Linked DNA regions of Cricetulus griseus. The protein of the gene in region 3 purifies or fractionates together with the protein of the main gene of each other region. This does not show direct contact. Links are inferred from orthologs where the notes say so. Each region holds a gene or a part of one and is shown on either strand. Other genes may lie near its edges. The genes, in order: CUNH9orf78, Hnrnpu, Prpf8, Snrnp70, Bcas2, squamous cell carcinoma antigen recognized by T-cells 3 and Eapp.

Region 1 (4,248 bases), on a different chromosome or scaffold from region 3:
TGGAACTAGGTCTTGTAGACCAGGCTGGTCTCTCACTCTGACTCCCAAGTGCTGAGATTAAAGGCATATGCCATCACCACCCAGCTTTTCTTACTTTGTATGTGACCATGTTTGTTAGTTTTGTGTGTGGACAGTGTATATACATGTTTGTGTGTATGCATGTGTGGTTGTGGAGGCAAGAGCCCAAAGTCAGGCATCTGCCTCAATCACTTTCCACCTTAAATATCTCAGACAGAGAACTTACTGATTTGGGTAGACTCACTGGCCAGTCAGCTCCAGGGCTCCAACTGTCTCTACTCCAAACCTTGCTAGGGTTACAGATGGATGCCATCATGTATAGCTTTTGTGCTGGGTACTAGGGGCCTGACTCAGGTCCCCAAACTTGTGCAGCAAGAACTTCAGCACTTTACCCACAAAGCCATTCCCCCAACTTATACTTTGAGAGAGGGTATCTTAGCTTTCTTATTCAGCACATCGTCCTAATCTGCCTCCCCAGTGCTCAGATTATAGGGATGTGTCACCATTCTCAGTTTTTCATGTGGGTGCCAGGAATCCAAACTTGGACCCTTGTGCTTGCACAGGAAGCACTCTGACTAGCCATCTCCCTGGCAGCATGGTTATACATTAGAGACACACTCACAGAAGAACAGCCCCAGAGAGGAGACAACACTCACCACCAGAGTAGTCTCCTCTTGAACCTTCTCTCCCACCAGCAGGGCAGCAGCACTGAGCAAAAGAAAACAGACAAAGAAATGACACAGAGACAAGAAGGAAATCAATCAATATGCTGGCTAGTTTGTTTTGTCAACTGAAACAAGCCAGAGTCACCTGGGAAGAGGAAACTTCAATTGAGAAAATGCCTCTATCATGTTGGCCTGTAGGCAAGCCTGAGGAGTATTTTCTTACTTGTGATTGGTGTGGGAGGGCCATTGTGTGCAGGGCTCCCTTCCCCCTGGGTATGTGGTCTTGTGTTGTATAAGACAGCTGAATGTAAACCTGGGAAGCAAGCCAGTAAGCAGTGCTCCTCCATGCTCTCTGCTACAGTTCCTGCCTCTGGGTTCCTGCCTTGTCTTCCCCCAATAACTGAATGTAATCAGAACCTTTCCTCTGCAAGTGGTTTTGTGTCATGGTCACAGCATAGGAAGCAATCTGGGACAATCAGGTTTGCAGGCTAGAGCACTGATGGAAGGGCATGCCCAAGAGTAGGTAGGAAAGAACACAGTGCTCAGCACACTGAGTGGGAGGGTGAAAGGCAAAGGAAGCAGCTGTGCATGTTCCTGCATAGCCATTTGATTTCATTTTAGCCTGGAAATCACAGTATAATTTGGGTTTTCCAGACAGGGTTTCTCTGTGTGGCTTTGGAGCCCATCCTGGGACTGGCTTTGTAGACCAGGCAGTCCTCAAACTCACAGAGATCTGACTGCCTCTGCCTCCCAGAGCACTGGGATTAAAGGTGCACATCACCACTGCCCGGCTCCCACAAAGTTCTTAAATATAGGGTCTATATTTAATTAAATATAGGGTCTATATAACCCAGGTTGCCCTCAAACTCCCAGGTTAGGATTAGAGGCATGCACCAACAACCACCACAGAAATCATTTATTTCTTAATTATACTTCTCTAATTTTTCTAAACTCTTATCTGTCAACACGTTGTCATTCACAATTCATCCGTGCAATTAAAAACTCCAATTAGGGCTGGAGAGATGGCTCAGAGATTAAAAGTACTGGCTGCTCTTCCACAGGTCCTGAGTTCAATTCCCAGCAACCACATGGTGGCTCATAACCATCTGCAATGGTGTGCAAGTATACATGCAGGCAGAACACTGTATAAGTAATAAATAAAATCTTGAAAAACAAAGCAAAACAAAAAAAACAACTCCAATTAGCAACAGGGTGGTGGTGATGGCTCATGCCTTTAATCCCAGCACTCAGGAGGCAGAGGCAGGCGGATCTCTGTGAGCTCGAGGCCAGCCTAGTCTACAGAGCAAGTTCCAGGACAGGCTCCAAAGCAATACAGAGAAACCCTGTCTGGAAAAACCAAAAAGCAATTAGTGACCTGGAGTAGACTCTGATACCACCAGGCTCAGGGCATGTGGCAGTTACACATTTGAAAAAAAACTGGTCCCCTCTTCGACCAGTGCAAGGTGTATGTCTAGAGAAAGAACTATGTCGAAGGAGATATTTGTAACTGAGACCCTAGCTGGAAGTATCTGTGTCATCAATAAATGACGCCACCCCCACCCCCATGGTACCCACCTCACCCCGTTTGGCCTCTTCCTTAAGTTCTGCACCTCTCGGGTTTCTTCAAGTTTTAACCTGGGGGGAAATGAATAAAAAGCAATGCACAGGCTGAGAGATCCTCTGCGGAACTCAAAGCTTAACTCAGTTCCGGGGACATCCGTGTCTCTCGGCCGAGTCCCTGGCACTGTGGATCACCGGCAGTCAGACCCATGCGACCCCGGAGCACCTTTCCGAGCTTCGGGACCGGGGAAATGTGGCCTTATCAGCAGGAGCCTCTGAAAGACAACAACCCTGGCTCCCGGTCAGTGGTGTCAGCGCAGTGCCGGCCGGTAGCCAGTCCCAAGGCTGTTTCCCTCTTCCTGGGCCGTGGAGGTCATGCCAAACACGTACCGAACCTCCTCTGATTCCTGCTCATCTTCCTCCGACTCCGAGTCAGCCCGCCGCCGGCGGAAAGTCTTCCCAGTGATCCGCATAGCGGCACCAGATCTTAGGAGCGGCGTTACCTGCCGCGTAGTGCCGGGAACCTCTTTCTCTTCCGGCGCGCAGAAGTGTCGTCAGAGGGCCGGCTGCATGCAGACCCGCCTCCGGGTGTCCAGGCCGCGCCCCAGCAGCATAGCCACCAGCTCCCAACTCCAAAAAGCAAGGGCAGGTACAGCCGCGTGGCCACGCCCCAGCGCCGAGACTGTGCCCTCCACCAGCAAGACAGTCTTCGAACCACGTGGCCACGCCCCAGCAGCACGGCCACTCCCCCTACTCCCAGCATGCATGGGCACTCAGTACTCGCACGGCCACGCCCCCAGCACGCACGGTCCCGCCCCCTAGTAGGCAGCGCCATGTGACCCCGCCCCGTCCTTGGCATAGGCTCTCTCGATTGGACAGCTGACGGTAGGGAGGCGGGGCACGACAGGCAGAGCCACAAGACTCTGCGCGGCGTCGCGGTGGGCGCGCTTGACTGACAGGCGGCGCGGTTGCGACGGCAGGTGAGTTCCGGACGGCTGATGCCTGGTGCGGTGGGCTGGGCCGCTAGAGCAGGGACGATCGCGCCGCCGCTGCGAACTGGGGAGGCCTGGCTTTGCGGGGCAGCCGCGATCTGGGGAGAGGTCCCCGCCGCCCACCCTCCCATCGACCGGCTCCTGTGTCCGCCCCAAGTCCCCACGGCCCTGGCTTCTCCTGAGCAGGCCGCACGTCGCTCGGAAGGCCAGCGCGAGGCCACTCGGGCTCTGGGCCTCAGATGTGCAAATTTATTTCTCACGGACAAAAGCTGAGCGCCTTGGCGGGGGTGAATATCAGTCCCGATACCAACTCCCCCGTACCAGGGTGGTCTGCTGCTACTGGTCCCTAGGAGGGATGCCACTGACGTTCAGAGGCCTCTCCAAGGGTGTGAAGCCGGGGACTGCCCTTCGAGAGCTCGGGGTGTCTCCTTTGGCCTGGAGGACTCGCTCTGTCCTACACACCTTCCACCGCCAAGATGTTGCGAGAGTAGTTAGCTTTCAAAGGTATCCATAAACACTTAGGAGATGGATAAGTGCATGCGTAATGGCTCACATGGGACTTATAGGGACTCCTTAATTACTAGTTTCCTCTGGAGCAAAGCACTTCTTAACTGTGGCAGGGCTAAGCATTCTCTCCTAAAAGTCTCCGGTCTAATCTCACGAAGTAGATGCAGTTGGGTCTGTCTTCCAACTGAGGAAGTTAGAGAAGGCTGAGGCTTAGAGAAGTAACCTGTGCTTCAAGTTACACAGCTGGGAAGGGGAGCTCAGGTGGGGGCATAGTTTTCCCAGCTGTGGGATTTGCATCAGGGACAGCGGGCCTCTATGGCATTCCAGTTCATGGGCTGGGGCGGGGGGGGGGGGCGGGAGACTGATGGAGACTTTTTTCTGGAAAACTATTCTAAAGCAGGGAGGCATGTCTGCCATGCTTTGGCTTTTCTCCAGAACAATTTTCTCTGAGGTTGTCGTTCCTCTTAAACTAGGACAAAGAAGACTGGGATGTCTTGAAACAGCTT
Region 2 (4,021 bases), on a different chromosome or scaffold from region 3:
AAATACAAATCTGACAGCTAAAGCCCATTTCATGGCTTGCAATACTTCCTCATACTCTAAAGTAGCATATTTACAGCGCTGCCATTGATACCATTCGCTGCTGAAGAAAGCTAGTGGCTCAGATAGCCCACTGCTGCTGCCCCAGGTCTTTGGAAGAAATCAACTTATGTTAGAGCAGCAGCTACTGAACTGGAATTGAGAACAAAAGAGCAGTTATTGAAAAGGTAATATGACAATCCTTAGAATAGGGAATGTACTTGTGCGCTAATGGGAAAATCGTTAGTAAGTATTCAACTAGCCCAAATAGCTCACTTAATATAGTAGCTCCACAGAAAAATTTTAATTTTCATATTACCTATCTAAGGACATGTTACAGGCAGGTTTTAAAAACAAGTTTCTGAAAGCTGAACAAAAATCGGTATTAGTTTTACATCCCTAAATATTGGGAACTTCCATGACATAAGTATCAATTAGTAGAGCTTGTAAAAACAGCAATACAACTGAAGTGTCGCTAAACATAAAACTACTGTAACCTGAACATGAGCTATTATCTTCCTGATTTAAAACAATCTAACGGGTTTTCTCCACTTTAAGATATACAAACACACTTTTCCTAAGAGTTAAACCAAAATAGCACTGCACTTAAATATTTGAGAAAAAGAGCGGGAAAGTTTGCTTCACTTACAAGTATCAAGACAAACCACTGTGTCATCGAAGTGTTCGTCTTCTTCTTCAACAGGTGGCTGAGGAGACTTGGCTCTGAAAGACAGAATCGTCTCCTGATAAAGCTTTCCCAACCACGCATAAAAACTGGGTGACAAATAAAACTAGGTTAGGATCCTCTACCTGCTGTACTTGTTTTCTTCAATGTACTCAAAATATCCTCGGCCATGATCTTCTCGCGGTCTTTTAACACCTCTCTTTTTATCTCCTCCTTTCTGTTCTGTTTTACCGTCTCCTATAACGACACAGAACACAGCCTTAAATCATCAGGCCACAGACTGAATTATAGAGAAAAGCTCCCGTTTCTGTTCCGGGACTTTTAGGGGCTGTTATTTTTTCCCTCCTAGACTGGATCTCGGACTTTTTTATTTTTGGTTTTTCCAGACAGGGTTTTTCTGTGTGGCTTTGGAGGCTGTCCTGGAACTAGCTCTTGTAGACCAGGCTGGTCTCGAACTCACAGAGATCCGCCTGCCTCTGCCTCCCGAGTGCTGGGGAAAAAGGCGTATGGCACCAACGCCAGGCGAGTTCTGAGACTTTTTAACCCACGAAACTAATATGAATCTAGAAAAAATCGTATCCATCAGCCTGGAACTGCACTGGAGACGGTGACGCAGTCTAAAGACGCTGCTAATCCTGCCAGCCTAGGGTAACCTTCCGGAATGCATTTAAGGACTAAAACCGCGCGCCCGCCGTCCGGGCCCACGTGCTGCGCGCCGTGCGCGCGGCGGCGGCGGGGGGTGTGGGGGGGAGGGCAGGGCAGCGTGGGCCCGCCTCCCCTCCCCCATCCGAGCCCGCGTGCCCCGCCGCCGCATTGTACTGAGCTTCCGCCTCACTCCCCGCGCCCGGCGCCTCCCGCCGGAAGTGACGTCACACCGAGCCCCTGCGCTCCTTGCACAATACCGCGGCGCTGAGCCGCCAAAGCCCGCCCGCCCCGGGACCTTCCCCCTCCCCCCAGACATGTGCCCGAACCGCGCGCACGCAGCGCTCCAGCGGCCGCCGCTCCCGCCCGGCTCCTCCCCCACCGCGGCAGCTGCAGCTCCCCCCGGCGCCCGACACACATAATGGAGGAGGCGCCGCCGGCATGGCGAGCCCATCCTCTCGGCGGCCCCGGGGCTCCCCCGCCCCCCCCGCCCGCCCGCGTCGCTCGCCCCTGGGGCCCCGGCCGGCCTGGGGCACGGTCCCCACGCGGGCCTACAAGCCGCGCGCCCGCCCGCCCACCACGCAGCCCTCACCCGCCGCCTTCCGCCTTCCTACCTCCGGCCTGCGGCTGGCCCTGCCTCGCCCCGGGCGGCGCCACCGTCACCGCGAAGAGCGAGGTGGGGCCGCTGCTCTTGCCCGCGGCCTCCTTGCCGGCCCCGCGCTGCTGCGGGGTCTGCGGGGCCGCCGCCGGCGGTTGGGACTGCTGCTCCCCGTGGCCGTTCTCGTCGCCCGCGCCCTCCTCCTCGTCGCCGAGCTCGTCCTCCCCCTCCTGGAAGCCCTGGTCGTCGCCGTTCTCGTCTTCCGACGCCGCCTCCTCCTCCTCCATCGCGCCCGCGTCAGCCGCCCCCGCCGCCCCGTTCTCCTCGCCCAGCTCCATCTGGTCGCCGTCCAGGGCGGCGATGCCTTCCTCCTCCTCGTCGTCTTCGGCGCCGGTCGCGGCCTCCTGCTCGAGGCCCGTCCCCGAGCGCCCGGCCGCATCGCCGCCCAGGTCGAGGCTGCCGTTCCCGGGCTCCATGGCGGGGCGGCCGCCGGCCTCGTTGTCCAGCGCGGCCTGGAGTCGATCCATGAGATCGGCCTTGAGGCCCTTGTCGGAGAGGCGCCGCTTCTTGAGCTCCTCCTTCAGCTCCGACACCTTCAGCTTCTTGACATTAACAGGCGAAGAACTCATGGTGAGGGCCCCGGTTCACCGCGGACTGCTGGCTCCCTCGGCCTGTGGCGGCGGCTGCTGGTCGGCCCGGGCGGCGGCTGCGGCTGGAGATGGCTGAGTGCTGCAGAGCGGACCCGCCTGGTGTCGAACGGCGCCAATTCCTTTCACCGAGTTCGCGAGGCAAGACGCGGAGACTCGCCTGGCGCGAGCGAGCACGCAACGTCCTCTCGCCGGGGCGGCGCCGCGCACGTAATATAGGCGCCCCGCCCCCTGCCGGGGCGGGGCTCGCTAGGGCGGCTGCGCGCGCAGGCCCCGCCCCTTCCCCGCCCCGCCCCCACGGGGCGACCTCGGCGCTGGGCCCCGGCGCGCAAATGGAGGCTCAGGAAGCCGCCTTTCGGTTAAACCGACTGGCCGCGGCGGCCGCCGGCCTTTCCGGCTTCTCGGCGGCCGCGCTCCACGGGCCGTCCGCCTCCGTGGGCCCGGAGGAGGCTCCCCTGCACCCGCCCTGCGTCCTCATCTGGCATTTCCCGCTGGAGGACACCCTCCTTTCTTCCATCTTAGTTTGTCTTTTTTTTTGTCTGTCCCTCCGGCTCTCGCTTTAAGACTCCGCCAAGTTTCCGCTGCTGCTCCGCAGAGCACAAATAAGCGGCTGTTAGACAGAGGTGGTTTTTTGTTTTGTGTTTTGTTTTTTTCTTCCTCCACTTCATTGCAGTTTAATTTTTTACAAGCCCTGCCTTGCCGATCGGACTTTTTAAGTTCCGCAAGGGCGAGGCCCCAGCGTTTCTTTTGTCTCTTCCATACCCGGTGGTGCAAGGCCTGGGGAGGCGCAGGCTTGCCCTACCGCTCCGTGCCGCACGGCATGCAGTGTGGGCCTTGTGCACTTCTCACCGTCTTTACTAGTGACCCTTGAGTAACCCCTAGAATTGCATGGAAGATTCCCCTAGACTCACTGTAAAGACAGGCCTCTTGCAGGAAGGACTTCCCTTAGTTAACCATGAGAGGGACATCCAGCTAAATTTTAATGCACTTTGATTCTCCCCGTTTTTTCAGACACACACTGAGTTGTCTACACACTTGCAGTCCTATCTCTTGGCAGACTGAGGCAGAAGTATCAAGAGTTGAAAGCCAGCCAGGGCTACATAGTAAAGTCCAGGCCGCCTTGGGCTGTATAGTCAGACAGACCCCATCTCAAACAAACAAACAAAAAATTGTTGCTATTTTTCTCTGTAATTAAAAACATGTTATGTTCTTGAAACTTTTAGGTAGAAATAGAATTTATTTTCTGCACGGGCCATTCTGTGTAGATTGTGCCTAATAGGTGTGTTTATACAGGTCTATAATTACAACCCTTGGGAGATGCAGGCAAGAAGATCAAGAATTCAGTCAGCCAGGCAGTGGTGGCACACACCTTTAATCCTAGCACCAGGGAGGCAGAGGCAGGCAGATCTCCCA
Region 3 (2,776 bases):
TCACTGGATACAGGCAGGACAGCCAACTTCCAGGCAGGTATCCAAGAGCTGAGAGGCAGGGCTATAAGTGGTCACTTTAGGCAAACCCTCCCCGTAGTGCCTGATCCAGGCTCCACCCCTAGACTTGGCTGCCAAGCACTCCAGAGGTGAAAGACTGAAGGTCAGCAAATAGCCTTTACTGGACTGCTGGGACAGCCACCGATGTGCTTGTTACCCCACCAGGAACGACAAGGTTTACAAATGGACAAGGCCAGGCATTACAGCTACAGGACCAGAGTCCTAGAAGCGATGTTGAAAATAGGTGGTTTCCAAGAACACAAACCAACAAATATGGTCAAGGTAGTGGAGTATGAAAGCCAGGCCCAATTCAGTCTAGGGTATATGGAACCTCAAAGGCCTGAAGGCCGGGGCCCAGAACTTTGTTGTGAACTGCCCAAGCCAGTCCCCAAAGTAATTTACACCCAGAATCTGAACTCATAAGAGCAAGAAAACAACAGCACTCCTATTTATACAAAATTTATTACATTTTGTTCAGGATTACAGTCTATCAACAACACAAACACAAAACACAAAAGGGGCCAGGCTGCTGAATGTCAGCAGCTTGTCTATGGGCTCCAGCCTTTGGGGAATCCGAAGCAGAAGGAAGCAAGAAAATAACTAGGCGTAGAGGTCCTCTCTGTCTGCAGAGTAGACCTCACCCTCCTGCAGGAGGGCAAAGTTGAGGAAGTGGGAGGGCCTATGGACCTCATGATAGAATTCCTTGGGGTTTGCCAGCTGCAGCTCATATTTCATGTTTGGATCATGCCGAACACCTTAGAGAGGGGGAAACATCAGATGTTAACAAGGGTCCTTGGGCAGTCAGACCCCAAGAGCCAAGAGTGCTGGCTTCTCCTACTTCCACCCCTACCCTGTCCACGCTCCCATGCTGTCGCATACAACCACATACCCATAAAGTTGTAATTCCAGGAGGACTGGGCAGGAACCATAAAGAAGCCGAGGAATCGGTCTGAGAGGAGCATCTGGACCCTCTCATAGTGTGAGGGCAGGTAGCCTTTGGGGTTGTTGCCTTTGTCAGTGTTCTGTCGGCCCCACTCATAGCCACTGGGGGTCAACTTGTAGGCTGTCAGTGTGCAGGAGCCTGGGGTGAAGCTGGGGGGAGGGAAAAAGACAGGCTGAGAGCTCAGGCCACAAATCCAGGCTCTGACCTGCAATACTTACCTTAAAATATTTCCACTCAAGGAGGCCCATACCCACCTGCAGGTGATGATAATTGTCTTCTCGCCATCCCAAGATGGGTTGTCAGCCATGATCTTGGCATGAGTGGTGACATCTTGGGGTGATAGCTGGGGAGACTCATTGGGTTGAGTGTGGATCCAACCTAAGGGTTCCATCTCCTGCAGGCAAAGAGCAAAGAGCTGTTCAACCTATCTGCAGACAAATGCCACCCATTAGGGTAACATGAGAGTAAGTTCAATTCCCAGGCTCCACCACCACAAACCTTGAGGTACTCATGCTGGGGCAGCTGGCTGGGAAGGTGCACAGTCTGGTGAGTGCCCCACTGAGGCACCATCACAATACAGCGGATCTCCTTCACCTGAGGGTTATCTGGAGGACTCACCCCATATAGGTACCCTGCAATCTAGAAATGAGGGGATCAGAAACGATTCTCAGTACCAACACAGAATGCCAGAATTTCTTCCCATTCCCAAGAAAAAGCTAGTTTGTCAAAACACAGTCAAAAACTGCTGGGGAAGAATCATCTGGTTACTTGTTCAAAATGTTACACATAAACCTCATCTTAAACTGTCCCCAGGATCTGGGAAAATCAAACTTGGGTCATTAGGTTTAGTGGCAAGTGCCTCTCTCTAGCCACTGAATCCAAAAGTTCATAAAAATTTATAATTGGAGCTGGAGAGATGGCTCGGTGGTTAAGAGTATTGGTTGCTCTTTCACAAGACCTGGGACAGATTCCTGGCATCCACACAGTGGCTTACAACTGTCTGTAACTCCAGTTCCAGGGCACCTGACACTCTCTTCTGCCCTCTACAGGTACTGCATGCATATGGTGCAGATATATGTGTAGCAAAACACCCGTGTGTGTGTGTGTGTGTGTGTGTGTGTGTGTGTGTGTGTGTGTGTGTGTGTGTGTGTTTATGACTGTTTTTCCAGAGAACACCCACAACTGTCTGTGACTCCAGTTCCAAGGGATCTAACACCCTCCCACAGGCATACATGCATGCAAAACACCAATAATATAAAATAAAAATAACTTTAAAATATTTTCAATGTGGCCGGGCGGTGGTGGTGCACGACTTTGATCCCAGCACTTGGGAGGCAGAGGCAGGCGGATCTCTGTGAGTCCGAGACCAGCCTGGTCTACAAGAGCTAGTTCCAGGACAGCCTCCAAGGCCATAGAGAAACCCTGTCTCAAAAAAGAAAAAAAAAAAAAAAAAAAGAAGAAGAAGAAAAAGAAATTTCAATGTATTGTTATTATGTATGTGTATGTAAGAGGACTTGTGTATGCCACTGAGTGAGCGTGAAGGTCAGAGGACAAGTCTGTGAAATAGGTTCTCTCCTTCCACCTTTACAGGGGTTCTAGGGAATCAAACTCAGATTGTCAGGCTTGTATGAGATGCTTTACCTACTGAGCCACCTCACCAGCTTTAAGTTGCTGGGTTTTTTTTCTTCTCAAGAAACTGAACCCAGGGCGTTAGAGCATGCCAGGCAAGCATTCTGTGATTGAGCGAACTCAGAACCTCTGGAAGAACAGTCAGTG
Region 4 (3,932 bases), on a different chromosome or scaffold from region 3:
AGAGGCAGGTGGATCTCTGAGATCCAGGCCAGCCTGGTCTACACAGTGAGTTCCAGGACAGCTAAGGATACACAGAAAAAAAACCTGTCTCAAAACAAAACAAAAAAGCACCTACAATGACTGGTAGACATTTGTTCTTCATCAGAGTGTAACATAAGTTACATAGCTGTAAAGTACAGTTCCAAAGCTACCTGGCAAGAAGAAGAAGAAAAAAAGCAGGGTGGTAGGGGTGCACACCTCTAATCCCAGCACTCAAGAAACTGAGGCAGTGTAGCTGGGCAGTGGTGGCACACACCTTTAGTCCCAACACTCGGGAGGCAGAGGCAGGCGGGTATCTGAGTTCTGAGGCCAGCCTGGTCTACAAGAGCTAGTTCCAGGACAGGCTCCAAAGTCACAGAGAAACCCTGTCTCAAAAACCAAAACCAAAACCAAAACAAAACAAAAAGCTACATGGCTCCCAAAGGAATTCTGCAACTCCCCACAGTTCCAAACAGAAACCCCAAAGAGTGGAGACACAAGACTTTAATCCCAGTACTTGAGTACTTGAGAGCACAAAGCCAAGTAGATGTATCTCTGCAAGCTTTAAAAAAAAAAAAAAGACAAAATGGGGCTGAAGAGATGGCTCAGCAGTTAAGAGCACCAGCTGTTCTTCCAGAGGACCTGAGTTCAATTCCCAGCACCCACATGGCAGCTCACACCTGTCTGTAACTCCAGTTCCAGGGGCTTTATGGCACCAAGGAAGCAGCATGCATATGATAAATAAGTTTTTAAAATAAATAAGTTTTTAAAAAATTCTTTTGATAGGTATTGTTTATTACATTTCTTTCTTTTTACTTAATTTTTCCGTTTATCTTACATCCAAAATAAATAAAGGAAATTAGCTGGTCCTGGAAGTGGACACCCATTAACTGCAGCATTTGGGAACCTAAGTAGGACTGGTATACCATCAAGGCCACTCTGAGCTACACTGTGGTAATGTCTTGCTTGTACAAATAAAGCCTGTTTGAGGGTCGGAGAATGAAGCTTGCCACTAAGAGGTCTGTAGATCTGTCCATTTACACTACATAGCAAAACTCTGTCTCAAAACTCAAACAAAGGGGCTAAGCACGATGGTTCTGCAAGTTAAGGCCCTTTTCACCAAAGGTAACAAACTCAGCTTGCTCTCCTGAGCCCACACAATGGAAAGAGAGATCTGATTCTTTCAAGTTGCCCCCTTATAGGTTTATAGGTTTGCACACACACATCCATACACACCACAAATACAAGTGTAATTAAAACTTAACGATGCCGGGCGTTGGTGGCGCACGCCTTTAGTCCCAGCACTCGGGAGGCAGAGGCAGGTGGATCTCTGTGAGTTCGAGGCCAGCCTGGTCTACAGAGCTAGTTCCCGGACAGACTCCAAAGCCACAGAGAAACCCTGTCTAGAAAAACGAAAAACAAAAACACTTAATGACGGGCTGGAGAGGTGACTTAGTGGGTAAGAGCACTGACTGCTCTTTCAGAGGACCAGGGTTCAATTCCTAGCACCCATATGGCAGCTTACAACTGTCTGTGATTCTGGTTCCAGGGTACCTGACATCCTTGCCAAACACCAATGCATATAAGATAAAAACTAATAAATTAAAAACTTAATATAAAAGAAATAGAACGCACACAAATGCAAAAACAAGATTAAGAAAAGTAAAATCATAAACCACAAAACTAAAATATGTTTAAAATCTCTACTCCAAAATGCAGCCTGCTCTCATTCAGCACCCAAGCCCTTCTAGTAGGCCCCATGTCTCCCTTTACTCACCTCAAATTCCCGGATGTATGGTGCAATGCCACAATAAGGTTGGTTGTGATGTTTTTCATGTGGCAGCTTTTCTAGGGGTGGCAAGTACGGGATGGGGTCTCGAGGGGCAAAGAGGGCCAGAAGGTTGGGAGGCAGAAACTGTGTCATCTTGCCAAACCTGAGACCAGAAACCTTAGGTTAGGGAACTTTAGCACAGGAGGTTCCCTCTAGAACCCCTTCACTCAAAATCAAACAAGCAGACAGGAGAGATCACGAGGACGCTGCTATCTATCCCGGGTGAGCCGGTGGAAGACATCTGCACGAAAAAGGTCGGTCTTGGCAGGAGCTGAGAAACAAAGGACTAAAAACACAGAAAACAAGGGAAAAGGAATCAGGAGGTGAGGGACCTAGAGACCTGAAGCACTAAGCTCAGAGGGTTGCTGGCCTCATACCTTGGAGATTACGAGGTAGGGGTCTCAAGGTAGTCCAAAAAGATCAAGCCAGGGGATCTGCGTAAAATATCTAGGATCCCAGAGGCGAACGGAATTATGGGTACAGATCCAGGATGCGACAAAAAAAAAAAAAAAAAAGCGAGGAAAAGAGGCAACACATAAAACGCAAGGGCCTGTGGGTAGGGGACCGCGAGAGGCAGGGGGAGGGGGACGCTGAGGGGACTCTGGGTAAAGGATGGGGTGGTTTGAAGCGCGGACCCGGTAAGCGGGCCTCAGGCGCGGGTAGAGAGTTCGGGGACCCCGCAAAGGCTTGTGGGTAGAGCGGACCCGAACCCCGTTAAGGCCACTCATTCACTCACTCACCGCGCGGCGCTCTCCTCGGCCTGACGTTAGTCTCAGGCCTCGCGGCCGCCGTTCACCAACAAAAACTCCCGCTCTGGCTTCCACTTCGGCGGCGTCTGCGTCAGCTACCTTCAGAGGTCCGCGCCGCGCGCGCAAACCAGGCCGCTCCTCACAACCCGCGCGGCCTCGGCTCGCGACAGGAACGGAGAGGGATCCGGTCTAGAATCCCTCCGCCGCACGCACCGCGCATGCGCCGCACGAGTCAAAAGACACCCATTTTGAGGTCTTGGCTCTACAGCGAGCACTGCGCACGCGCAAAGCCAAGACTCCGCCGTCAGAGTCCTTCAATGCTTAGGCTGCCTTGGCCTGGCAAGCGACGTGCGCATGCGTGCTCAGGCACTAGGTCGGCACCCACCTCGCGCTCTAGCCAACCGCCTATGCCCGCGAGACACTTACTGATGCCCCACCCCTTTCCCCTTACACTTCCCGGACCCTGTACGCATGCGTGAACGTAAAGTGCCAGGTGGAATATCCTTCCGCAGACTGTTAAAAAGTACCTACCTCATCAGGGTCATTGCTTTTATTTTATTTATTCATTTTTTTAAAGATTTATTTATTGTGTATACAGTGTTCTGTCTGCATGTGTCCCTGCAGGCCAGAGAGTGCACCAGATTTCATTACAGATGCTTCTGAGCCACCATGTGGTTGCTGGGAACTGAACTCAGGACATTTGGAAGAGCAGCCAGTGCTCTTAACTTCTGAGCCATCTCTCCATCCCGGGTCATTGCTTTTAAATTCTATTTAATGGATAAGTTCTCTCCCAAGTGTCTTGTATGTTCTAGACACTGTTTGAACTCTAGGGACACAACATGTGACAAAATAGTCTTCTTGGAGCTTACATTGTTTGGAAATATAATACGTTTGTTTAGTGGGTTTTCTTTTTTGTGTGTTCTGTTGTTTTATTTTTCTTTATTTTTTTACACAAGGTTTCACCGTTTGGCTCAAAATTACCTTGCAGTGTGTGTGTGTGTGTGTGTGTGTGTGTGTATGTGTTTTGGCTTTCTGAGACAGTTTTACTGTGTAGCCCTGGTTGCCCTGGCTTACCCTGTAGACCAGACTGGCCTCAAACTCACTGAGAGCTTCCTGTCTCTGCCTCCTGGGAGTTGTGATTAAATGGGCGTGCCACCATACCCAGCAGGGTTGTGTTTTCTTAATTGTGTGTCTTTTCTGTCAGTCTGTGGTGGGGGTGTGCACATGGTTACAGGTGCCCCCAGGGGTTAGAAAAAGGTGTAGCCCTTGGGAGCTGGTGTTATATGTTGTTCCAGGCCTCTCATATTGGGTGCTAGCACCTGAAGTCAGGTCCT
Region 5 (3,973 bases), on a different chromosome or scaffold from region 3:
CACAAGAGCGCCACCAACTGGGAGTGTTCAAATATGTAGGTCTAGGAGAGGCAGTTCTCATCAAACCACAAGTTGTGAAGCTCTTTCACTTTACTTAAACCTATAGGCAGCACATTTACATAATGTAAAATCATAAATACCCATATCAATCTTAGAATAACCAGGCTTATAGCTGAGACCAACTTTTCTAACAGATAAGCCTTGGTTGAATGCCCATTAGGCAGGACACATAGGTCCAACAATCTTTTTTGCATTTACCTCTTAGTTTTGGGGTATACTTAACAGAGAATGTATACTAGTTACAGCCTGAGGGGAAGGGAGCCTAGGAGGATCACTATTACCACAAATCCTAAAGGCAAAATGATTGGGTTTTATGTAGGCCCCAGAGACAAAAACATGGCAAAGCTTTTTAAGCAAAGCATCCTGTAGACAGAATTCCAGTCCTTGGAAGGATGAGGTGTTCATTTGTAGCGCTGAAGATTGAGATGGGGCTTTACCACTGAGCTGTCCTGGAACTCGAGCTTGTAGACCAGGTTGGTCTCTAACTCACAGAGATCTCCTGCCTCTGCCTCCCAAGTGCTGGGATTAAAGGAGTGTGCAACCACTGCCCGGCTTACCCCCAGCTTCTTTTTGTTTTTTGTTTTTTCGAGACAGGGTTTCTCAGTATTGTTTTAGAGCCTATTCTGGAATTGGCTCGGTAGACCAGGCTGGCTTCGAACTCTCAAAGATCCGCCTGCTTCTGCCAACCGAGTGCTAGGATTAAAGGCGTGCGCCACCAACGCCTACCCCCAGCTTCTTTAAAGGGCGTGGGAAGTATATTTCTCCCCTCCAGTGAAGTCCAGCAACCACCTCTTGAAAAGTTCCCACGCCCCAATTCTCAGTCTTTTAAACCCCTCTCCCTCCTACTATGCTAGTCTCACTGCATTGCTAGCATCTATGTCTAACTCAAAGGGCATGTCTTGCCTCCGGTCTGCCCTGTTGTTTTTCTCTTAAACTCGAATAAAATCGTCCTCGTAGCCATGGAGGAAAGACAGGCATAATCCCAGGTCTACCGGGACGTCAGTGCGCAAGGCCTCAAACAAAACAGTCCTTAAGACCTAGCGGCTACAGAATCAGCCGCTCTGCACACGGCCCGAATCCGAGAGGCGGCGCTGTGTGTGACGTCATCCCGCGCGCAGGCGCAGTGGCATAGCAGCGAGCCGGCGCAGACTGACGGCGTTGGTGGAGCAGAGTGCCGCGCAATGGCAGGCACGGGTTTGGTAGCCGGGGAGGTGGTGGTGGATGCGTTGCCGTACTTTGACCAAGGCTACGAGGCTCCCGGCGTGCGGGAAGCGGTGAGTATGGGGCGCGTGCGGGGGTGGGGGTCACCCGAGGCATGGTTCCCTTTCTCGCCTTGACCCCGGTTTGTTCTCTTTCTTAGGCTGCGGCCCTGGTGGAGGAGGAAACTCGCAGATACCGACCTACCAAGAACTACCTGAGCTACCTGACAGCCCCGGATTATTCTGCCTTTGAAGTAAGTGCGGTGTCCTGAGTCCCGCATCCTGACCAGGATTCTTGCCGGCTTAGATTTCGGATTGAGGGCTTTAGCTCTGGAAGCAACTGCTGCTTGCTGCTCATGTTGCATGTCAAGATCAGTTGGTTCAAAATAGCCAGATGAGCTTTCCTCAGGGTTCGTATTACAAGAAATACTTTATTGGTTCTGCAGACTTGTTTAATAAAATATTTGGGTCTTTTATTTTTAAGAGTCCCTAGTAAACTTCCCTAAAGGACCCCTTATCCTTTATTCTCTAAGGTCCAGTCAAAAACAGGTAGTAATCACGGGATTTTAATATTTATAATCTTAACTACCTGTACTCTTTGCAACCACTGAAGGGAGATTTTTGTAACAAAACTCAGATAGTTAGCGGATATATGAATGCCTGAACAAACATGCCTAACTGCATACCATTTAAAATTGTTATCCTACAAGTGCAACCAAAATACCATTTAGGTCCTAATCAGGTGTTCATTTGCAAACTTTTAAATGCTTTAATACATTTTTTCTAACCTTTTAAAATGCAGCGCGGTTCCTGCCTTTATAATTAGTGTTCTGGTTAATTTAATACTTTCTTAGTAGTTGTTAATGGTGTATTGAACTATTTTTCCTAGCTCAGAAAATGGTCCTATGAATTACATAACTGTTCATTTTTATTCTTCTGCCAATTAAGGTTTTTAAGGCTGGAACTCATGCTAGCCTATAACTCACTAAGACAGGTCAGCTTTGAACTTGGGATAATCTTCCTGCTTCAGGCTTGTGAGTGTTGGAATTACAAGTGTAAGTCACCATGTCCAGCTCTTGATGCAGGATTGTGTGTGTGTGAGTTTAGACAGAGCCTCAAGTAGATCAGGCTGGCCTCGAACTCACAGAGATCCGTCTGCCTCTAGGTGCTGGGATCAAAGCGTGCGCTGCCACCCCCTATCGGAAAAGCTTTTTAATTTGTTGCAGTTGCATGTATGAATTCTTGTTGCTTCCTAGACTACTGGACTCCTATTCAGAAAGTGCTTATGTACTGTCTATGCAAACTGAACAGAATATGCAATGTATTACAGAACAGAATAGGCACAGTTCGTATCCTCATAATACTTAGATTCTAGTTTTGAGATGGGCAGATAAATTAAAAAGTCTCGGATATTTTTGATAAATGCCAAATAGAAAATTAATGATGTTGCTGGTTGGCTGTGGCCCACACCTTTAATCCCAGAACTCGGGAAGCAGAGATAGGTAGATCTCTGTGAGTTCAAGGCCAGCCTGATCTACAAAACAAGTTCTAGCACAGCCAGGGCTACACAGATGTGATAGCAACTGGGTGACTGTCATACATTAATTAGATGGTTGAGAGAGGTTTTTCAGGCAGAGAAACTGCTCCCTGTGTGGGGTTAGTTGTTGTGATACCTTCCTCATTTAGAACCCAGGTTACAACTGTGTTGTAACCCCTCCCGGGGTTTTTATAACTCCATGTGATTAGTTCAGAAATCAAGTCTCAAATCCAATGTTTCATCTTGTGACTTTATTGAAGTCGAGGTTTTAAACTGGAGTATGTGGGATTTACACTGTGTCACACTACACAGCACTAGAGACTGCCTGAAACATTTGGCTCAGATTCAAGGCTCTCATATGTTGTGAAATACAATGTAATGTGTGGCTGGGTAAAAGTTGTCTTCACAGCTCCACAACTGATTGCAGTGCATTGAAAACTGCTGATTGAGGGTTAATCCTTAACACACAGGTTCTTTTATGTTTGCCTCCTTTTGTGCCTGGGCAGACTATAGAATTAAAGTGGGTGTCTATTTCTTCAAGACCCTAGATAAAATTAAGCCCAGACCCAAACTGGGGGATGGTGAAAGTGTAGCATAGTGGGAGAACATGTGTGAGACCTGGGTCAAATATTAATATCCTTTAAAAAGGGAGATGGGGTTGGTAATTGAGAGAAGCAAAAAGATCCATTATAATGTAGTACAAAGTATAAGATCTCAGTAAACATTATTTTCAACCTGATCCTGGTACTAATTCTTTGTGTTGTTTCTTCATCAGACTGACATAATGAGAAACGAATTTGAGAGGCTAGCTGCTCGACAACCAATTGAATTACTCAGCATGAAGCGGTGAGTGAGGTTAGGCTTGGGGGGAACTCGACAGCGGTGGCTGAGGTTGGGAAGAGCATTGCCAGCTGTGTGGAGGCCGTGAGCAGTGAGATTAGAAGATACAGTGCTGCCAGTTATAAACATGATCACGGCCTTTTTTCTTTAAACAAAAATGTTAGCAAATATAATACATTTAAGCAACTTTCAAAAAGATGGTAAGGCAGACTTTACCCAAGAGGGGTCTCATCTCAACAGGGATGAGAGACATCAGAGTCTCTGTGACTTTTACAGGTTAACTAGTTCACATTTATGAAAATTTTTTTTTTTTTTGTTACAGCATACAGTTGTGTTT
Region 6 (3,500 bases), on a different chromosome or scaffold from region 3:
ATTATACAGTGTTCTGCCTGCAAGTATGCCTGCAGGACAAAAGAGGGCACCAGATCTTTTTATTTATTTATTTATTTATTTATTTATTTATTTATTTATTTATGTATAGTGTTCTGCCCAGGCCAGAAGAGGGTACCAGGTTGCATAACAGATGGTTGTGAGCCACCACGTGGTTGCTGGGAATTGAACTCAGGACCTCTGGAAGAGCAGCTAGTGTTCTTAACCTCTGAGCCTTCTCTCCAGCCCCTGCCATGCTCTTTTAAATCTTTGTCTCCAGGATCCCTGTTCCACACTGTGGTGGACTTACACAGCCCCATGCCACCTGCCTGTCCCTGATGTGCAGCATCTGTGTTTATCACTGCCACCCCGTCTTTCCGTCATTTATTACAGTGAGAGGAAATGTGACTGAGGTTCCTGTGTCCATAGTGGGTCTTCATGGTTGTGGTGTGAGACTTCAGAATGGTGACTTCATGGAGTTCCTCTGCCTTTTTCAACAGACTCTAGCAAGGAGCTGGAAGAGTTGCGGTCCATGTTCACACGTGCTCTGGAGTATCTGCAGCAGGAGGTGGAGGAGCGTAAGTGTCCAGCCTGCTGTCTGCCCAGTTGTCTTGACTGTTCTTGCTCGCTGAACCTCTCCTCACCTGGGGTGCTTGCTTCATGTCTGTCCTAACTGTTCCGTTCCATTCTGAAAGGTTTCAGCGAGAGTGGAGATCCAAGCTGTGTGATCATGCAGAGCTGGGCTCGGGTTGAGGTGAGCATCTTCACAGCCTGTTACTCCCTCCTCTGAGGGCTTTGTTCAGCACTCAGGAATTGGGGGACAGAATCTGAGGGTGTGGTCTACGAAGCAGCAGTGCCTGGACTCTGGCTGTGGATCCATCCACCTCTTCAGCCCTTCCCTCACTGCTTGAGGGTGTACTGAGTGTGTGCTGTTCACCAGTGTGCTGAGGGTACTGTGAGCGAGCTGGTCTCTGTGTGCTAAAGACTTTAACCTTGTCCAGAAGATGGACTGTGTGAGCAGTAGAGGGTACAGGTGGATGCTGTTCCTGAGCCAGGGACACCGAGCAGAAAGAAAAAAGAATTATAAAATTCAATAAGATTCAATCCTGTTCCATGATGGCAGTTGGGTCAGTGAAACTCACCTGGATGTATAATTCTCTAAGATTTTTGTTAAATTTTGAAGGATGAGAAACAGACTGCACTTAGGTGGTGGTACTAGTTCAAATCACATAACTTTGAGTTAGCGTTTGCTGCTGATGGATTATTATCTTCCTCTGTAATGCTTTCCAAGTAAACATTTGTAGTCAAGTTTATATAAAAAGTAAATGGCTGCCCTGCCTCACGTTTGCAAGACCTCTCTGCAGAACCTTTGTCTCTGGCTTCAGAGCCTTTCTGTGCTGCAGGCTCTGTCCGAGACTCAGCTCTGTGCACACCTGTGAGGCTCACTGCTGCAGAGAGGCAGGCAGCCAGGCTTCAGGCCTTTTAGTGCTAGAGGGAGGCCTGGGACCTTCAGGTGTTCATGGGACACAGTCATGGGGTAAGGAGGAGTGTTTTTGGCATATGGTGTGGATATAGCTGTGATAGGATGCAGGGCCTGTCCCACCTGATCTTGCTAATGTATTTTAGGCTCGCCTGTGCAATAATATGCAGAAAGCTCGAGAACTCTGGGACAGCATCATGACCAGAGGAAATGCCAAGTATGCCAACATGTGGCTGGAGTATTACAACTTGGAAAGGTGAGTGACTCAGGGCAGGTGACATCTGTACCCATTCTTGGCTGAGGTGACTTGAGCCTGCTCCTTGGGATGGGTACCCTCCTGCCTCTTCCTTTAGCAGGGCCCATGCCTGGCAAGTCTTGAGGACCAGTGTTTTGTGTGGGGGTGGGGAGGCTCATAGCCCATGAAGTTCTTCTAAGCTGTTTGCTTTTTCTTTTGAACATGCCTGCTTGGACTCTTGTGGGTTTTTTTTTTTTTTTTTTTTTTTTTTTTTTTTTTTTTATTGCATTTGTATAGGAAAGCTCAAAGCACTGAAAGAGAAAAGAGAAACACCAGATTAGCTAGGGGTTGCTGTCTAGACTTAGTGTTATTTATGGGTTAGGGTGGGCTCCTGGATGGTGTGTTTGTAGTGTGTGTGTCCAAGCTGTGATCATTCTAGATTATTGAATTCAGTAAACTACACCTAGTGGGAATACAAAAAAACAAGACCTTGCCTTTCCTCCTTTCCTCCCAAGATTGAGACTGTGTATAGCTGAAGAAGTAAGTCTGCAGCCCACCAGAGTGCTCTGCACACTACTGATCCAGATGGTTTAACTCCATGCTCTGAGCCTTGAGGCTGGCCTTGAAGCCATGGTGATTCACCTACTCAGCCTCCCCAAGTGCCTGCCAAGATGGCAGGCATGAGCTGCCACCACTCTGAAGGTTTTGAGTATGCTCATACATGCATGCATACATACATACATATATACGTATGTACATACATACATTTGCTCTGAAGGTTTTGAGTATCCACATGCATGTATACGTGCATTTGTGCCAGTGTGATTAGCAAATCTTAATCTGTTAGGGTAAAACCTGGCTCAGAGCATGGAGTTAAACTATCTGGATCAGTAGTGTGCAGAGCACTCTGGTGGGCTGCAGACTTACTTCTTCAGGAGCTAAATCAGGGTGCATTCGGTTGATGCATGGTTCCCTCCCATGTGCACAGAAGGCCTGGCTAGAGGCTCTTGTCTGAGGTGTATCCCTGGTGCACCTGCCTGGCCAAGGGGAAGCATGTGTAGGGGAGGCCCTCCCTCACAACTGCAGAGGCTTGTGGCAGGAGAGAAAAGGCCCTGGTGCTTCTGAAAGCCACTGTCGTAGGGCTCTTCTGTCTCAGCAGTAACCTGTCACATTCTTTGCTGTGGGCCTTCATGGCAGCTATTTGTTCTCTGCTCTAGGGCACATGGTGACACACAGCACTGTCGGAAGGCTCTGCACCGAGCTGTCCAATGCACGAGTGACTACCCTGAGCATGTCTGCGAAGTGTTGCTCACCATGGAGAGGACAGAAGGTGGGACTCTGCTTCTGCTTCTGGCTTGAAGTGTGGTCCTTTGGCCAGTAGTCTCCAATGGAAACATCTGGTCTATAAGGACAGGTTGGCTGCTTGCCCGTGGGAGTGAGTTCTCTTGCAGTAGTCCTCAGTCTGCAGACACAGGAAGGGCTTAGGTGCACTTGTGGCTGACCTCATCAGTTGGTACCAGTAGCCGTCCTCCCCACCACAACCACAAGGGGACTCCTAACAGATGTCCCCCTTCTGGGAGGAGCCCACATGAGAACTACTGCTCTAGCAGTGTGGGGTACTCGAGAGGCAGGGCTCAGCATGCTGTTTGGTCCTTATGGAATTTTAGATTCTTGGTGCTGGTCCTAAGCCATAACAGAACTTGGGAAGACTGTGGGTTTTTCCATGGGCACCTGTCTGGATGGGAGTGTGAGCCTGAGACCTGTAGGTGACACCCAGAACAGAGATGC
Region 7 (2,935 bases), on a different chromosome or scaffold from region 3:
GAGCACTGTAGCACAGTTCTGAGTCCAGCACAAATAGCCTCAGGAAATGTCTGATATCTCAAGATTCTTTTCTAAGTGAAAGGACATGAACAATAGGTCTTAGTAGTGTTTTATTTCATGTTGCTTTTAGTAAGCATTCAAAACAGGTTTCATTATGGCAACTCCATATGCATATCACTGAACTTTGCTCATACTTACTGCCCCAATTCTGTTACCCCACCAAATGGTCAACACGCCCCACTTTCCGGGTCCTCTGTGTGAGTGTGTGTGCACGTGCACGCATGCTTAAGTCAGTCAGAGGAAACTTTGAGAGTCAGCATGTCCTTCCACTGAGGACTCCAGGGCTCGAACGATGGCAGGTTGTCGGGCTTGCACGCCATATGCAGAGCCATCTTGCTAAGCCCTAACTCATTTCGTTATAAAGCACCAACCTCTAGTACTTTGTTACGGCAATAGAAAATGGATCAAACGCTAAGAAACAAACACTTACTCCAAAACAATTTAACTCTAGGAAGCTAATTTAATAAATAAGAAGTACCAAAGTCTCCAAAGATGCACCAAAAATGAAATGATCAGCCCCGTCATTACTCATGGGAAAATTACAAAGCAAAAAGAGTGAGGAGATAGAGGTGGATAACCATTTTCATAAAGATGAAATACTGCTTTAATCAGTGTCACTGAATGATAGAGAAAATAAGAGTCCATATTTGCTTTATACAGTGCTGGGAAGCCACTACCTGTTTGAGATAGGGTTCAAGAATGGCTTGCTAAAACATTGAAAAAATGAAAGACTTCATCCTTGTCGTAGACTGCCACTTCAGTTGAACACTCTGTGCACATGACAGGATGGTAGATTTCTTCCTCTTCTGTCTCCACAGGACCCTCAGCGTTAGACCTCATCTTCTTAGCACCCCGCTTTTTCTTCCTGTTTTCTGGATTCTTGTATCTTAGAACCTCCTCTCTGTTGACAGAACAATTCATCACAAACATTGCTCTGTACTGAGTCTTGTAGGATTCATGCCTAGAGGGAGAATGAAATGGAGAGTTAGGACTTAATAGTTGTCATTTTTAGATCAACTCTGAGAACCCCTAACATGAATATTCACCAAAATAAAGACAGGGGAGTGAAATGGAAATTTAAGGAAATTTGAAAGAATTATTTATTTACTTCTTTTTTTTTTGAGACAGAGCTGTGAAAGCTAACCTGAAAATCCTCCTGTCTCAACCTCTCAAGTAATGAGAATGCCGGCATGCACCGCCACTCCATGGAGACATATATTTCTTAAATGGAACGTAAGGCTGGGTGTAGTGGCACACACCTTAGATTCCAGCACTCAGGAGACAGAAGAAGGGGGATCTCTGTGAGTTCAAGGACAACCAGGGCTACATAGATACTCTGCTTCAAAAAAAAAAAAAAAAAAAGCCAAGGCTCTTAACCACTGAGCCATTTCTCCAGCTCCCTGCAGTGGCATATCTTAATTGGGCATGTTAATTAGGTGAACCAAAGGGGGCTTTTGATGGCTGGACTTTAATACTTTGATAGCTGGACCTCAGAAGTCAGTCTCAGGAGGAGGAGGAAGTAAGGGAATAGACCTTGGTGGCTAGCTTTAGGAATGTAACCTAACAGTTTTTTCGCCAGGCAGAGGGAATCCGGGAGAAGGTCAAGGCCTGCCAGAGGCACCTGCTTGAGTGGGCTAGTTAGTGTCCCTTCACCACCAACCTCTGCGACCTAACTAGAAAACAGCATTTTTTTTTTCCTATTGCTTTAAAAACAACTTTTAGGGACTGCAGAGATGGCTTGGCTGCTAAGAACATTGGCTGCTCTTCCAGAGGACCTGGATTTGATTCCACCATCACATAGCAGCTTGCATCCATCTGTAATTCCAGTCCCAAGGGTTTTGATACCCTCTTCTGGCCTGTGGGCACTGCACATATACAATGCACAGACATATGTGCAAGCAAAGCATCAGTAAACACACAATAAAAATAAAGGGGAAAAGCCAGGCGATTGTGGTACACACCTACACAGAGAAACTCTGTCTTGAAAGAACAAAATAAAATAAAATAAAAAATAAAGGAGGAGGGAAGCAACTTTGATCCCAGAAAAAAATAATTATTTCTATAACAATTTTTAAATTTGTTTTTAAACTTAGTGGGTTTGCTAAGCTCAAGCTTACCATCCTGGCTAAAAATTATCTGCTTCTAATTTATCTGAACCCCTGCCCTCACTCCTGTTTGTTTGTTTGGTTGGGTTTTTTTTGGGGGGGGGTTGTTTTGTTTATTTTTTCGAGACAGGGTTTCTCTGTGTAACAGCTCTGGCTGTCCTGGAACTCACTCTGTAGACCAGGCTGGCCTCGAACTCACTGAGATCCTCCTGCCTCTGACTCCTAAGTGCTGGAGTTAAGGGGTGTGCAGCACCGCCCAGCTCTCACTCCTGTTTTTAAGCAAAACACTACCACAGAGGTAACCTTTTAGCAAATCCACTTTGTTCTTTAAATTTTTGCAACTGTATCATATGCTATAGTTACTACTCTTCTAGATTTTGGTCAAATAAATGTCTACATAATCAACAAAAATAGTCTAATTCTGATTTAAGCAAAGGCCCACCGAACTGTTTTGGTTCTGGGGAAGGTTTGTTCTATCGTGGGGCACACTCACTCGGGTCCATGTTATATGTTTACCTTTGTCCCTTACCTTTGGCAATCAAGGCACAGTGTAGTCATGCAGGCCGGGCAATTCAAAACAGCATCACTGTTTGGAACAGGCTGTTGTTTCTGATGGGGTCTCTGCAATCCAAAAGCATGGTAACTAAAAATAAATTTGAAAAGGAAAAATACATTAATCAACTAAATCCTGGTTTCTAATGTCACAGTCCAGAAAAAGGAATCAGTACTCAGAGAAATTACTCATTATTATTATTTACATTTCTGATTGA

What was found.
Region 1: the proteins of Prpf8 (region 3) and CUNH9orf78 purify together in Homo sapiens (affinity purification with mass spectrometry; 4 studies listed by BioGRID and IntAct, with this or other methods). This does not show direct contact. The link is inferred for Cricetulus griseus from reciprocal best matches to the Homo sapiens genes PRPF8 and C9orf78.
Region 2: the proteins of Prpf8 (region 3) and Hnrnpu fractionate together in Homo sapiens (co-fractionation; 3 studies listed by BioGRID, with this or other methods). This does not show direct contact. The link is inferred for Cricetulus griseus from reciprocal best matches to the Homo sapiens genes PRPF8 and HNRNPU.
Region 4: the proteins of Prpf8 (region 3) and Snrnp70 fractionate together in Homo sapiens (co-fractionation; 3 studies listed by BioGRID, with this or other methods). This does not show direct contact. The link is inferred for Cricetulus griseus from reciprocal best matches to the Homo sapiens genes PRPF8 and SNRNP70.
Region 5: the proteins of Prpf8 (region 3) and Bcas2 purify together in Homo sapiens (affinity purification with mass spectrometry; 3 studies listed by BioGRID and IntAct, with this or other methods). This does not show direct contact. The link is inferred for Cricetulus griseus from reciprocal best matches to the Homo sapiens genes PRPF8 and BCAS2.
Region 6: the proteins of Prpf8 (region 3) and squamous cell carcinoma antigen recognized by T-cells 3 purify together in Homo sapiens (affinity purification with mass spectrometry; 4 studies listed by BioGRID, with this or other methods). This does not show direct contact. The link is inferred for Cricetulus griseus from reciprocal best matches to the Homo sapiens genes PRPF8 and SART3.
Region 7: the proteins of Prpf8 (region 3) and Eapp purify together in Homo sapiens (affinity purification with mass spectrometry; 4 studies listed by BioGRID and IntAct, counting the BioPlex papers as one, with this or other methods). This does not show direct contact. The link is inferred for Cricetulus griseus from reciprocal best matches to the Homo sapiens genes PRPF8 and EAPP.

Annotation. Positions count from the first base shown.
Region 1 is NC_048599.1:142,695,128-142,699,375, forward strand, and holds the start of CUNH9orf78 (telomere length and silencing protein 1 homolog), read right to left. Parts: upstream 2,801-4,248; 5' UTR 2,717-2,800; coding exon 2,634-2,716; intron 2,319-2,633; coding exon 2,259-2,318; intron 727-2,258; coding exon 675-726; intron 1-674. UniProt on the Homo sapiens protein: Plays a role in pre-mRNA splicing by promoting usage of the upstream 3'-splice site at alternative NAGNAG splice sites; these are sites featuring alternative acceptor motifs separated by only a few nucleotides. May also modulate exon inclusion events.
Region 2 is NC_048598.1:15,817,816-15,821,836, reverse strand, and holds the start of Hnrnpu (heterogeneous nuclear ribonucleoprotein U), read right to left. Parts: upstream 2,801-4,021; 5' UTR 2,591-2,800; coding exon 1,978-2,590; intron 959-1,977; coding exon 847-958; intron 760-846; coding exon 686-759; intron 1-685. UniProt on the Homo sapiens protein: DNA- and RNA-binding protein involved in several cellular processes such as nuclear chromatin organization, telomere-length regulation, transcription, mRNA alternative splicing and stability, Xist-mediated transcriptional silencing and mitotic cell progression.
Region 3 is NC_048600.1:88,960,612-88,963,387, reverse strand, and holds the end of Prpf8 (pre-mRNA-processing-splicing factor 8), read right to left. Parts: intron 1,640-2,776; coding exon 1,499-1,639; intron 1,395-1,498; coding exon 1,255-1,394; intron 1,150-1,254; coding exon 947-1,149; intron 813-946; coding exon 658-812; 3' UTR 501-657; downstream 1-500. UniProt on the Homo sapiens protein: Plays a role in pre-mRNA splicing as core component of precatalytic, catalytic and postcatalytic spliceosomal complexes, both of the predominant U2-type spliceosome and the minor U12-type spliceosome.
Region 4 is NC_048599.1:154,300,798-154,304,729, forward strand, and holds the start of Snrnp70 (U1 small nuclear ribonucleoprotein 70 kDa), read right to left. Parts: upstream 2,801-3,932; 5' UTR 2,590-2,800; intron 2,330-2,589; exon of another isoform or gene 2,227-2,329; intron 1,953-2,226; 5' UTR 1,943-1,952; coding exon 1,796-1,942; intron 1-1,795. UniProt on the Homo sapiens protein: Component of the spliceosomal U1 snRNP, which is essential for recognition of the pre-mRNA 5' splice-site and the subsequent assembly of the spliceosome. SNRNP70 binds to the loop I region of U1-snRNA.
Region 5 is NW_023276806.1:53,787,774-53,791,746, reverse strand, and holds the start of Bcas2 (pre-mRNA-splicing factor SPF27), read left to right. Parts: upstream 1-1,173; 5' UTR 1,174-1,241; coding exon 1,242-1,334; intron 1,335-1,420; coding exon 1,421-1,513; intron 1,514-3,571; coding exon 3,572-3,642; intron 3,643-3,973. UniProt on the Homo sapiens protein: Required for pre-mRNA splicing as component of the activated spliceosome. Component of the PRP19-CDC5L complex that forms an integral part of the spliceosome and is required for activating pre-mRNA splicing.
Region 6 is NC_048597.1:93,397,029-93,400,528, reverse strand, and holds part of squamous cell carcinoma antigen recognized by T-cells 3, read left to right. Parts: intron 1-497; coding exon 498-575; intron 576-692; coding exon 693-751; intron 752-1,623; coding exon 1,624-1,733; intron 1,734-2,929; coding exon 2,930-3,042; intron 3,043-3,500. UniProt on the Homo sapiens protein: U6 snRNP-binding protein that functions as a recycling factor of the splicing machinery. Promotes the initial reassembly of U4 and U6 snRNPs following their ejection from the spliceosome during its maturation.
Region 7 is NC_048598.1:147,621,302-147,624,236, reverse strand, and holds the end of Eapp (E2F-associated phosphoprotein), read right to left. Parts: intron 2,809-2,935; coding exon 2,695-2,808; intron 1,022-2,694; coding exon 754-1,021; 3' UTR 501-753; downstream 1-500. UniProt on the Homo sapiens protein: May play an important role in the fine-tuning of both major E2F1 activities, the regulation of the cell-cycle and the induction of apoptosis. Promotes S-phase entry, and inhibits p14(ARP) expression.